Mytilus edulis: one gene and its partner. The protein of the gene in region 1 interacts with the protein of each later gene in a pairwise test. Links are inferred from orthologs where the notes say so. Each region holds a gene or a part of one and is shown in the gene's direction. Other genes may lie near its edges.

Region 1 (7,287 bases):
TGTGTGTCATGTGTGTTGCATTGTCGTTTTTGGGGTTTTTTTTTTGCAAAATCATTGTTTCTGTTGTTTTGTTATTTTCCTCTTATAGTATAGTTGATGTGATTCCCTCGGCTTTAGTTTGTAACCCGGATTTGTGTTGTCTCAATCGATTTATGACTTTCGGACAGTGGTATTTTACTGTTGCCTTTCTTTGTGAAACCTTCAAATACTTTGTTTCATTTTCTATAATCAGGATGCAAGGGTGCATTCATATCGTCACATAGGATGATCTGGTAAATTTCTTTATATTTATCCATAATTTTTGAAATTTGATATAGTGTATCTTTGAAACTATTGTCTCCACTAATTTGGGCAGATGGCATATATAAATCAATTACTAGTAGATATATTAAATTTGGGTTACTGTCTGTTGTTAGTACTTGAATGAGATCATTCCCATCCGGCATTATATTAACTGCATTGGTCAAGTCTTTCTGCCAAAAAAATGCTGTTCCACCGGTACCATAGCCACGTATTGATGTATAGACTGATATCGGGTAATCAGTAACAAAAAGATGGTAGCCAATGAAATGATTATAAAATGACAGTGTATATAAAGTGACTACTGAACAGACCTCTGTCAACAACAATGTTTTGTATGTATATATTACAGGCATTTTCTAAATTTAGGCATTTTGTAAAATGCCTGAAAACTTTTAAGGCATTTTCTAAAATACCTGCAAGATTCAGTAATTAAACACAATGTCTAAATTATCTAGGCATTTTTCAAAATGCCTGGAAAAAATTAAACGGCATTCTACAAAATGCCTGAATCTATTTTAACATGAATATCATTAATGTGGTCATTTTATAAATTTCCTGTTTACAAAACTATAAATTTACCGAAAAACTAAGGATTTTCTTATTCCTGGCATAGATTACCTTAGCCGTATTTGGCACAACTTTTTGGACTTTTGGATCCTCAATGCTCTTCAACTTTTTACTTGTTTGGCTATATAAATATTTTGATATGAGCGTCACTGATGAGTCTTATGTAGACGAAACGCGCATCTGGCGTACTAAATTATAATCCTGGTACCTTTGATAACTATTTACACCACTGGGTCGATGCCACTGCTGGTGGACGTTTCGTCCCCGAGGGTATCACCAGCCCAGTAGTCAACACTTCGGTGTTGACATGGACATCATTAATGTGGTCATTTTATAAATTTCCTGTTTACAAAACTATGAATTTACCGAAAAACTAAGGATTTTCTTATCCCAGGCATAGATTACCTTAGCCGTATTTGGCACAACTTTTTGTACCTTTGGATCCTCAATGCTCTTCAACTTTTTATTTGTTTGGCTTTATAAATATTTTGATATGAGCGTCACTGATGAGTCTTATGTAGACGAAACGCGCGTCTGGCGTACTAAATTATAATCCTGGTACCTTTGATAACTAATTATAGAATGAAAAGTTAAAAAAAAACTCATTTGAAAGCTTTCAACAGTTTTTATATGGTATTACTGAATAGAAAAGGGTAAAGTTTAAATAATCAAGAATATATTTTACATAATTATTCCAAATTTATGACAAAATAATAGAAATGTTATACATATTTTCTGACATAGTGATGATAGATTGAAAAAGGCAACATCAGTTCATGTTTTGCAAGCTTCTAAAGTCGAATACTCAACTGAAAAAATCAGGGACATTCATTTTACTAAAAATAATACGTTTTGTGTGAGGGTGGAGTAAAGCTAAGAATGGAAATCAGGAATGTGTCAAAGAGACAACAACCCGACCAAAGAGCAGAAAACAGCCTAATGTCACAATGGGTCTTCAATACAGCGAGAAATCCCGCACCCGGAGGTGTGTATCAGTCCTTCTGCGATTTTGACATAATAATAACAAATTCACTACTGGTATTTGAATACAGAGTGAGTATGTATTTAACATAATTTCACTAAAAAGAACATAGCAAATGACATATTAACCTTCCAAGCTGGGTTTTGGAGAATAAATCAAATTTACCGAACCAATAGTTATTTTCTTTGCAAGAATCTGTGTTTTGTCCACTTTTGTCATATATGCATCTCAATGATATCCTTCTCCTATAAATTACCTGAAACTGAACAGGCAATTAGTGGAATTTTTAGTTACAAGTTTTATTTATTAATACACTTTTAGTTGCAACCATATTAAATATGGTTCAAAAAAATCAACACAAAAATCGATTTGTTTTTGCCCCAGATGACTTTTAAAATGGTGCAAAAATGCCATTTTTTGCATTGAAATTGAAATAGCTTTTATTAACTCATCGGTGACCTATAAAAAAAATTCAAACAAGCTGTACTTAAACTAAACCGTGATTTTAACAAATTAAGCAATTACTGTAAAAAAAGTTCTTTTTTTATTTCGATATTATACCTTTATTGCTCCAATAAGTTCAACAGAAAAAAGTACTTTAAAAAATGAATGCCTTTCGTAGGCAGATCGTGAGCTTGAATAGACGATGACCCCATTGTTTTCATTTTATTTTGCTATTACGTATATATTTTAAAGTTTATTTACAGATAAAATAGCGATATCCTTTATCTTAAAAAAAAAAGAGTTATGATACCCTCGAGCCCCTTAACCTATACTAGATAAATTATCCTTTAGATTTAAATCTTATCCCTGCTTAACTTTTTACTGAAAACAGTATTATCCTAGATTCGGTATGTATAAATATATAGTGTTATAAGATAAGATAAGATAAGAAAACTTTATTTTGATTCGGCATGAGTACAAATAAGCAACACAAGCTCTAAGGAGCTTTTGACCGAATATAAAAACATATAAATAACATAAAAACAGTGTATTTTGACATATATAAAACAACCTGTAATACAAAATTGAAATCTCACATACAAAGCATGCAATAAAAATAAGCAACACATTTTCGAATGAAGTAAAAACATGCTTGACCAGAGCAACCAAAATCAGCATAAATAATAAACAGTTCAAGAATTATCTGCAAGCAGAACACTGTCATTCCAAACCGTTCCAGGACTGAACAAGACTTTTAAAATGTGAAAACCTGTTTTCAGTCCTGAAATGGTTTGGAAGAATGTTCCATAAAGTAGCAGCAGCAAATTTGAACGATTTTTTACCGTAACGGGTTGACTAGCTTTACCTGTGGAATTTCAAGAATATTTACATACCTGAAAGAATATTTAGACTTTTTGACATTCACCAAATTTTGTAAACACACAGGAGCTATGTTGTTTATAATTTTAAAAGTTTCTAGAGCCATTGTTCTTATCCGTCTGATCTGCTAGGAAGGCACCTTAGCTTTAAGTAAGAGGTCCTCGTAGGAGCTGGTAAAATCCTCATACACAAAACGGAGTGCTCTTTCCTGCACCTTTTCTAGTTTTTTGAAATTTTTCTCAGTGCAAAAATGCCATGCCAAAAGGCAAAAATTAAAATTACTAAGAATAAAAGTATGAAATATAGTAAGTTTACTAAGTCTATCCAAAACAAAGCCTAAACGTTTTAAAACATTTAATTGCTGTGATGCCTTCCTACAGATTGAGCTGATATGAACATCAAAATTTAGCTGGTAGTCTATTTCAATGCCTAATAATTTTACTGTTTTTTCACATGTGAGGTTCGAATTTTGAATATACACAGATGGGTTCTTTTCAAAGGTCTTTTTGCCAACAGCCAAAACTTGAAATTCGTCAGGATTTGCTTGCATTTTATTTACCATGAACCACTCAATAAGTATTTTTGAATCCGATTCCAAAGTTGATCGAAATCTGGAGTACAAAAAGACAAGGTATTTGTCTCAAATACTCAAATGTTATTTTAGTCAATTTACTTGAAATATATTAATATAAATAAGTATTAAGATTTGTGACACATTTTAATACACGTACACAACTGTTTGTGGTGTTCCATAACAAAAAATAAGAAAAAAACTTTTATTGCGCGCTTACAAAAGGGTCTGGAGGGGGTCTGTTATTCTGTAAACATTTAATTTCAAGTCACCCCTTTTTTCTCTAATCTTTAAAAAATTAACCCCTTTATTCTCTAATCTTCAAAATATTAACCCTTTTTTCTAATCTTCATTTTATGGCCTCATTATTCTCTAATCTTCATTTTTTAAAGGGTATTATTCTTTAATCATTTAACCCGATCCAAACCCTTTTATAATATTCATCCGAGATCGGAGTATTTGAGTCGAATGTGTTTTGGGGTTCGTTATTGGTCTCTTCGGGTTTTTTTTGCTTTGTCTAAAGCTGCGAATAACAGTGAACACTTCCGGGTTAAAATGTGACGTCACATATTGGAAAAGAAGAAAACACAAAGACACTTTTACCTTGATTTAAAAATAATAAGGAACTTTATGGTAGAAAAAATCGAATCAAATATCTAAGTAGAGAAGAAATGAGTGAACTCACTCCAGACGAGGTAGATTATTGAAGCTAAACCAAAAAAAATCAACAATAAATTGATTTGTCATGATTCCTTATTTTCAATGTTTTGACCGAAATTATTAGTGAATGTATAAAATTATGGCTAATACTCTTTAAAACCCTTTGACTGTTTGTGTTACATCACATAATTATCCATTTAAGTATATTATCTGTATCTGCATTATGGAAATTTCTGTTGCAGATTAACCACATAGAAGTAGATGTAAAAGACATTGATAATGTCATAATTCATTATGTCTTGAAGATCTAATTCATTGTCCTGTGACAACTTTATTGTTGATAAATAAATGTTATCCCATAAGTGTTGCATATATAAAAAAGGATAACTCATCGCAATAGACCAAGTGACACAGAAATTAGAAATTATAGATCTCTGTATGGCCTTCAACAAAACACTAATACACTATATGCCCGCCATTACTGGACATTACATAGGTTCCAGCCAAATTTTGACATCAGAATACAAAATATCTAAAGCCACAATAAAAAGGATTTATGTGTGACATCAATAGCTAAAGTGGCACGGATTCTCGGGTCAGCCGGGATTAGTGATAGGTGTCTAATTAATGTCTAAACAAATGAACGAAACAAAATATGTAACACAGCAACAAATGACATCCACCAAATCACAGCCTCCCCACTTGGGACGGTATCAGGTCCGTTCGTGCCCAATATACTTTCGCATCCTACACGTTCGCACCCAAGGTCCATTCGCACTCTACACGTTCGCGCCCAATTTTAATTTAAATTCCAGTTGAATAATTGGAAAATCATTATTGTTAATTTTAATTACTTTGATGTAAATACTGAATGTATTTATAGCTTGGTATGAGTAAAAGATTAAATATTTTAAATGAAAAACACAAAAGATAATTGTTTTTAACAGCTTGGTCCCTTTGATCTGAAACAATGAAATAATAAAATATAGCAATACACTATTATATAAACCAAAACATGATAAAATTTATTTCATTTTGAAACAAGCCAATGAAACAAAGTTTTATAGGCAATACACTAAACAAAACATGATTAAGTGTTATTCAACAAAAAATAAAACATTGACAGAATCCCACTTTAATTAGAAAGGAATATTATTTTTTTTAACAATACACTTTCAAAAACATGATTAAGATTTATTCAACACTTAAAAAATGCTGTCTCGCTTTATTTTGAGACAATGAAATCAATTATACTTTTAGGAATACTACTTGCCAAAACTTGATTACAAATTTATTAAACACAAAACCAATAAAAATTGGGCGCGAACAGACTTTGGTTGCGAACATGTGGGGTGCGAAAGTGAAAGGGGGCGAACATGAGTGGGTGCGAACGTGAATGGGCGGGAACGGTCCCAGATTCACTTGGGACAGTCACATTCAAACAGAATGTTGTGGGTTTAAACATGTAAGTGTGATCTCAACCCTCAACTAGGACAGTCATGACCGTGGTGTAACGGTACAACATAAAAATGAACTACATTCTGTATAAAAATCAGTTGAAAAATGCTTAACTCATCAGATGGATCCATACAAATAGATCTAACACATACATGTAGTAAGCCAAGCACATGATCAATTACATCAATTTTTTTTTGTTTTGTTTCTTTTGACTTTTAACCTTTAACCTGTTAACTGAAACCATTGTATGAAACCAGAGTCAATTTCAGATTAAAATAAATGTTTTGGGATTCTTATTAACAGCTAAATGATAGTTGTATCCATGATGATATATAGGACCCAGCTAATTAAACATGGGTATTACCCACTGATGCACAGGTTTCTGGGATGGAAAATCATTTGTCCATGATGTGGAATATAGAAATATTTACATTTACTACAATGTACATATACTGACAAAATGTCAGATACATTTAGTCCAAATGACTTCAAATGTCAGAACTAAATAGTGTTCAAGTAGGTGCTGTATACTGACTACTGTTTGTGTCAAATTGTGGGTATGATTGTCAATGAGAACTATCTTTTGAAAAGGGCTTACCTCATCAAATTGACACAAAGCAAAAAAAACACAACATGCTCAAAAAGACTAAAGACACAAGTCATCGATCGAACACGGTTGTCAGTAGTAATGCAGATAGAGATCACATTATAAACAAAATAATATCTGGTTTGAGATTTAATTTTCCACTAATTATAACAGATAAGGAGAAGACGTCTGGCCAGGTTAGCAGGAAACCAGACTACCCCTCCAGATGGAGACAGGTCATCGGGAACCCAGTCTACACCTTCTAGTCAGTCTTCAGAAAGACAATCAAGTCAGTCAACACCAAGTCAATCATCATTAGACACTTCACAGAGACGAACTCTTCCAAGTAAGTCATTAGTAAATTGTAGATCCTAAATAAGTCATCAGTAGATACTAAACTAATACGAACTCTTCCAAGTAAATCATCAGTAGATACTTCACAAAGTAGACATGTTTATGCCCCTTTCGTAGTGGAGTTAAGATTTACCCTTGTCTGTAGGTCCCAAAGTTGGTTTCTGTTGTCTAACTTTAGTTTGCCTCAACCAAATGTTAAGAAACGTATACACGTATATATATACACACAATGCTTATTACCACAAAACACAGATTAAGATTGAATTTTGGTGGCATCACTATAACTTTTCTAGAGTTATGCCCCTTTACAAATGGGAAAATTGCTGAATGCCTAAAAGTAGCATACATGTATCTGCAACAAGAAAGATGAGTTTGGGAGGAAAAAACAAAGAGGTTATTCATCATGTTCATTTTTGTCAATGTATAAGAAAAGACCTGTTTTAAAAAAGATTGCATTACAAAAGTGTTTTTTCCTAACATTGT
Region 2 (7,733 bases), on another chromosome or scaffold:
AGTATCATCCAAAAGAACTCTAAACTATCGCATGTCTTATAAAAACATTGACTGGTAGATAGCAAAATATTGCAAGAACTAATAGAACTTTGAAGTTTGTAGCTCGGAAGATTTTGGAGACGAATGTCATCATATTTTTACATGTTCTGTATCTAATGATGATTGATTGATTGTTGGTGTTTAATGCCACCATTGGTACTATTGGCTATGTCGTAGGTTTTTTTCTTAGCATCTAGAAAGCCGGAGTGCCTGGAGAGAATCCCTGACATGCGGCAGGACAACCTACAACCCTGGTCAATTTAGAAACGAATGTACTTGCCAAGTTCGTCAAGGTTCATACTTATATAACCTCAGTGTTGACAAGACACATTAGATGAACTATCTAATGAGGACAATAAATAGCTATAGAAAAGTAAATATAGAAACTAATCATATTCCTAAAGGTTTATTGAATTGAATGATGAATAGCAAAAATGTATTTGATCTCAACAACATGAAAATTTAGAAGAATTATTAATCAGCACTTAGGCCCTTTGCCGTTATAAAAGAGAGGCGAAAGATACCAGACATTCAAACTCATAAGTCGAAAATAAATTGACAATACCTTGGCTAAAAAAAGGGAACAGACACACATAGAAAACTAAAATCTTAAATGGTAATCTATATTGCTTATTTTACTTTTGCATGTCTGTAATATATGCAATATGTGATATATATTTAGTGTATCTCTTTATCACTGTAATTTGGTTTGGTTGGGGTTTTTTTTTAGAGAAAAAAAGATTTATAAAGATACACAAAAGATGTACTTATTATATATTAACCATAGAAGTATTAACTGAGATTGATAATTTAAAAAAAATGCTTGGAGTTGCATGGATGATGGATGTCAATATATTTTTCATTTTTAAAAGATGTCACAATCTGACAAACGTGGGTTTTATGGTATGTAATAACATTTTATTATTTGGTTTAAAAAAAAACGCGACCTTTTCACTGTGTTTAATCGTTGGTTTATATGTTATTTGTATTTTTTTAATTATGATTCAATACAATATCTATTTTTGTCTTCTTCAAGTTTGAGTAATAATGAAGTATTGTGTTTTTCACTTGACAAGTTATTTATGTTTGCTACACCCAAGTTACAAATAACGAGACATATGGACCGTTATTAATATGTATCTTGACTAACATAAATCAACAAACAATTATTCAAATTGCGTTGGGGTCTAATGTTTGCTTTCAAATGCAACCACTGCTTTAACTTGAGATACAAAACAAACAAGATTAATATAAACAAATAAATGCGTAATGGATATATAACTTCATTTATCATAAACATATATTGTTTACTCTTAAGAAGTTATAATAAATGAGCATATACATATGCTTGTGACAAATGCAAAGCAACAACAAAACTAAATTGAGATCAATGCATAACTATATACAAGAAAAAAAAATCTTCAAGAGTACACTCGAGTACTCATATTAGTAACACGACAGGTGCTACATGTGGATCAAGATATGCTTATCTTTACGTAGTAATTGCAATCACTGCCGTTTTTTATGGGGTTCGTATTGCTAGGTCTCAAGTTTTCTGTATTGTGTTGTGTTGTGTATACTTTTGTTTGTCTTTTTGTCTTTTTTTGTTGTTGTTTTTTGCCATGGCGTTGTCGTTCTATTTTCGACTCATGAAAATAAATGGCTTTTGGTATCTTTCGCATCATCCCACTAAACTCAGCCTTATAAAGAATTTTCTAAAAGGGAACTTAGCAGGACCTCTAGTTTTCAGAATCGAAAAGATTGTGAAAAAGAGGGATGAAAGATACCAGACGGACAGTCAAACTCATAAATCGAAAATAAACTGACAACGCCATGGCTAAAAATGAAAAAGACAAACAGACAAACAATTGTACACATGACACAACATAGAAATATAGGAATATCTATAATTATCTCAATCACAAGGTTTGTAACGAAATTTTGTTACTTTGACAGTAAGGAAGAAATCATTTTTCATCCTCTTATGTTTTACATGATAGTCACGTTCCTATATTTCGAGGTAAATTGATATATTTGGAATCTTCAAATTGGCGTCCAATTTTACGTGAAAGAATAAGATTTCAAATCGATAGCTGATTATTTGGCCCTATAATCATAGTTTTTCCAGTCTCAAGTAGCTGTCCAGGTCTTAGTTTAAAAAATTATTTGAACCAAATAAAATTTGAAAAATGATTAAAAAAAATAAGAATAAAATGGATTAATTTTCATAAATTTATCAACAAAGTATACAGATTGTTATTTCAATTTCAATTAATATTTTTTATCTGATCCCTTTTCATGCGGACCACAACTCTAAATGTTGTAGATAGATTGTCTGGGAATTTCATATTTTGTGTCTGGGAATTTCTAATATTTTCTTAGAATTTCAGCTATTTTTGTCTAACACAACTATTTTCTTGTACCATGCAAAGAATATCGCCAATAGTCACATCTCAATGTTTTCGTTATTTGAGCGAGTTGACTCAATATTGTTGAAAGCATGTTTAGGTCATTTTTTTTTGTTTGTTAAACAAACTGGTAAAATTATGTCTGTTATTGAAAGTTTAAATCGAAGGAGAAAGTGAACCAATTTAAATGTATTTGTATCCGAAATAATGCATAACTTAACATTCGGTAGACATTTGGTCCTTCTTTTTTTAAGTTTGTAGAAATAAAAATAGTTTTCAAAGTTGCAGTGCCGAGTTATCTGTAGTTAAACGTTTATTGGGTGGTTGAATGTTCAGAAATACGAAATAGTGTTCTACCATTCTTAAAAATATAAAAATCATTATAGGGAAAACAAATAATGATTAGTATACTGGGATTAAAAGATATTGGACATCGATTAGAGGAGATTCTGATCGATAGGACATCGATTTGGCAATACATGATACATGAAGTGACATTGGACGTCGATTAGAGGGTTTGAGAAATGTGACGTCAGATTGGATGCTGATGAAAGTAGTGGTAATCGGTGTACTTAGTTAACATCTGTTATTACGATGTACATTATAATGATATGTCGATAGTCAATAAGTGTCTGCATTTTTTGCATAAAGATTGATCACATTTAATAATTAAAAGGAAAATGACAATCAAATACATATTGATGAATAATATTACATCATACGGATCAAATTTTTAAAACTTTTTTTTATGCCAAAAATGATATTTATACTTCACATATATCAGATTTAATGTTGCTCATGCAGTGCATATGTAATTTTACAAAGATCCTTTTCTGAAAATTTATCAACGAATTTTACAAATTCCCGATAAACAACTTTAACTTTAAAATCTAACTTTTTAGGAGAATGGTCATGGATAGAAATGTTTACATATGATTTTATAAGTTAAAACTATTTTGTTCGTTTGTTGATACGTTTTTTTTTCATCGGTAAAATGAAAAGCCTAGACTATACACTATATGTTTAGTCATTTTCCCAGTCTTCACAATAAATTCAGACTATATACTTGTTTCGTAGTGGACATATTCACATGTTTATTTTTTTCCCACAATCCCTATATTGCAATAGTAACAAAAATGATTTTTTTTTATCAAAGATTATCAAAGCACATCGGCTAAGCTGTACACTGATATTTTTCATAATTCTAAAACCAGATACTGAAGGAGATTTGACCCGTTTCGTGGTGGACATAAGAAAAAATACAGCATCACAGTATAGTATAATAGTCCCAGTTTCAGTGTTTTAATTGTCAAACAGATCATCTCAAATTTACGATTTTTCATTCATATGGTTAGAGAGTGGATCATACTCTTATGCCAGTGTTAATATTGAATTTCTGTGTTCTTGAATATAAAATGTTATTCCAAGTTTAACCAAGATTAGTCTTACGTTTCATGGCCGTTATTGAAATACTTGACAATACTATTTGTATATATACAAGTCTAAATTGAAAACTACGTTCAAACCTATGATTTCGTTGGATACAAACCGCAATTTTTATACGTGTGCATGTAAAACAAATTTCGTTGTAGAAGGGTCTAAATGCAGCACAAACAACATTTTCCAAAAGACCAAAAAAGTGAAAAAGTATATTTAAACAAATCGCACTTGACTAACAGGTCGAACAACTGATGTTCTATAACCCTGCATGTTCTATATATATATATATATATATATATATGTTATAGAACATATATATTCCGAAGGCATGCTGGATATTTTACGGAGGCCGACGGACCAACCTATGTATACCTAGCCTATATTCATCGTGATGCATGAAATATTTGCCACTGGACGTTAAGCAACAAACAATCAATGTATCAACCTTAATATTCTAAATTGGTTTATATTAAAAGTGCTTTATAATTCTTTCTTCTTTTTTTTTTTTTTATAAGAAACACTTTTGATCATACTTCACATGCAAGATCATCATGAAAATGCACAGCATGAGTACAAAATGGCAAACTAGGTCTCTCACATATAGATGCCAAATATGTAATGCATGTTGTTATTATTGTTCTTGTGTTATGTATATGTTTTTATATTTGGTGTAGAGCTCTCTAGAGCTTGAAGTTGTGTTGTATGGTTTAAATGCCGAATAGAATGTCTGAAAAATTTCGGAAATTTACATGGTTTATCCGTCGTTGTAATTAATATTTTGTTAGTCATAGAAACGTTTGAAAACAGGACAATTTTCGTTGTAATTACAAGTAGATGTCTGACCTTGAATTTAAGGAAAAAATCTTGATTTCATGCTAAATTCCCCTTACTTCTTTACTTTCTCTGAGCGTTAAGTATGAGTGCTGCTGCAGATCTTAAAAATCAAGGAAACAAATATTTTGCAAACAGAAGTTTTGATTCGGCGATTAATTGTTATTCAAAAGCTATTGTAAGTGAATGAAATAATGACTGAATAATGATCTTATGTACATGTAGACTGCAACATGGTACACCAGTTATGTTGAAAAATTATATATACTGGTAAACAATATAGAATATTTTTGGATGTGTTCTTTTCCTATAAAACAAAAATTCTGAAAGTGTTTCAGCAACAATTTGTAAATACTTGGTATCACTATCATGTCATTCTGCTACAATCTTGTCCCCAACAGGTCAGGAATAACCACCCATAGGTGGATTATACCCCTCTTGACATATAATCCACCAATTGACATATATGGGTATAGACCAATTGACGTAATATGAGGCAGGCATTACCTGTAAATGGGGACGAAGTCTGTATGAATTATTTTTTTGTAACTAAATATTTGTTAAAAAAAAAGAAACGGCAATACAGTAACGTTTCCGATTTTGGTTCTGTTGTTAGGGATTTTAGTTGTGACGTTATTTAAGTTATGACGTCATATGCAATGTAAACAAAGAAATGCTATCATCAGGTAGCTGCGGAACCGTAGCTCTTAGGTCCTTATGTTATTTTTTGACTATTTGCGGATCTGCGGAACCGTAGCTCTTAGGTCCTTATGTTATTTTTTGACTATTTGCGTTTTTTTTTCATATCAAGGAATTATCAAAAATGAAATTGGAATTGTGTTCCTTCCTATTTTATACTATACTGATAAATATATATTTTACTCAAAGTTTCATACAAACGAGACCGGAAAAAGGAAGTACATTGTAGATTTCTGCGCAAATCCAGAAATTCAAAAACCTGACAAAAAAAAAATTGAACGATTTTGAGTTCATTAGTACAATGAAAATATCGGGAAAATTTTCCCGATTTTTTTTTTTTTTTTTTTTTTTGAATTTTCTACTGTTATTGGGGACTTCGTCCCCATATAATGCAGGTTTTTTGTAATAAAATGCTAGTGTGAGTTAGGAGCATGATTTTGCAACTTGCAACCTATTTTATGACCCTTATTAATATTGAGTCCTCCAAAGATTCAGTTTTGTCAAAGCCTGCTGCATCTCTTGAGAATGCATGTGTACAACAATCCTTTTGTTGAAACATTCGTACTATTGACTTTTGATAATGAAAGTCAAGTATTAACAAAGAGCTCCATTCACCTGTGGAGTTGTACTCATGATCACTTGACTGCACACAGTATTGATGTCCATTGACAGGTGATTAGTGGTTAATTTGCCAATCAAGAATTGACAAGATAACAATAGAAGAAACTGCAAATACAATTATTGATTAAATGCAATATGTTATGTGACTATACTAAACTAGGAATGTGTGACAAGTTTTCATACCATAATATGGTTTTAAGAAAACAATGCTCCATTTTGGTGGTATAATTTGCTTTGAAAAACAAAGATTTAGTTCACCAATTGGTCTATATCATTATATGTCAATTCGTCAATTGAGGTATAATCCACCAATTGGTGGTTATTCCTGACCTGCCCAAGTTAATCAACCCTGATGGTAAAAAAATAATAACTATCAAGATAGGTTTTTACATTTATGATTCATGGAAAGTGGAACTGCACATGAAAAATGTGTGTATTTTTTTAAAATCATATATATTTAATAAATGATGAGAGGAATATGTTTTAGGAAAAAATCAACATTGATAATGAATGACATCCATCAAACAACATTTCTTGATTTGAGTAGTATTATATTAAACTTTAGACAAAAACAAAAATTTGTGTGCATCCCCTTGGGAATCTTCTTGTGCAGTTGTGTATGGAACTACATGTATTATAATTACACAGTTGAAAGACTTATTAAGATCAGTCATTTGAAAACTTGCTATTTTTTTAACCGATATACATGGTACAATTTATTTTTTAATATGAAAAAAGTTATACATGCACAAAAGTGAATATTCATTTTACATGTTATAACTTCTAATAAAATCATTATTAACACAAATGCTTTTTACTCCATAATCATCTTCACTCATTTAACATGTTTAAGGTGATAAATATTTAAAAAAATATTTGACTAAATGTCTTGTTATTACAATGTATTCAAGAAATTAGGAAACAACTTGGGCCATATCGACTTCCGGCTGGATCACATGAAAGGCTTCAAAGCTCTGAAAAGGTCTATTGATTAACCCTATAATAGGTATACACAAATGTCACAGACAGGTCACATACTCTTTAAATAAATGAGACTGAATAAAGTTGTGTGGGTTATTCCTTTTGAGCAAAAGCATCTATAAGTAATTACATGGAAGTCTGAAGAAAACTTTTGTATAAAGATAATAATTATTCAGGCCAGTTATTGGAAAATAAATATTGAGTAATAAATCACAAAGGAAGACAGAATGACATTACAGCTATACACCAATTGTGATCATAAATGTTTCATCCTAAAAAAAAAAATTAATTGCTTTGTGACTTTGTAAGAAAATTAACCTTAGTGACAGTCATATCTTTTTTTCAGTTGAAAAGTCCTAATACATCAACTTACTTCACAAATAGAGCATTATGTTATTTAAAAATGAAAAAGTGGGATTTAGCTCAACAAGATTGCCGTCGTGCCTTAGATTTAGACAGATCTTTAGTGAAGGGACATTTTTTCATGGGACAAGCCTTGGTTGAGCTTGGTTTGTACGATGAAGCTATTGCAAGTTTGATGAGAGGTAAATATTAAATAAGTTTACAAATGTATATGAATCAATACAAATTGAAAACTTTTTCAGTCAATTCAGAAATTACGTACATTTGTATATTATTTAAAACAGTACTGTTAAAAATATGACAACTCAAGAATTACATTTATTATGATTTCAATTTTAAAATACACCAAAA

What was found.
Region 2: the proteins of ubiquitin conjugation factor E4 B-like (region 1) and E3 ubiquitin-protein ligase CHIP-like interact in a two-hybrid assay, tested with the Caenorhabditis elegans proteins (2 studies listed by BioGRID). The link is inferred for Mytilus edulis from reciprocal best matches to the Caenorhabditis elegans genes ufd-2 and chn-1.

What each region holds. Positions count from the first base shown.
Region 1 is NC_092356.1:69,801,664-69,808,950, forward strand, and holds the start of ubiquitin conjugation factor E4 B-like, read left to right. Parts: upstream 1-4,281; 5' UTR 4,282-4,417; coding exon 4,418-4,441; intron 4,442-6,624; coding exon 6,625-6,796; intron 6,797-7,287. UniProt on the Caenorhabditis elegans protein: Acts as an E4 ubiquitin ligase mediating the assembly of polyubiquitin chains on substrates ubiquitinated by another E3 ubiquitin ligase. The elongation of preexisting ubiquitin chains preferentially targets ubiquitin 'Lys-29' and 'Lys-48' residues.
Region 2 is NC_092352.1:15,888,178-15,895,910, reverse strand, and holds the start of E3 ubiquitin-protein ligase CHIP-like, read left to right. Parts: upstream 1-4,710; 5' UTR 4,711-4,803; coding exon 4,804-4,896; intron 4,897-7,365; coding exon 7,366-7,564; intron 7,565-7,733.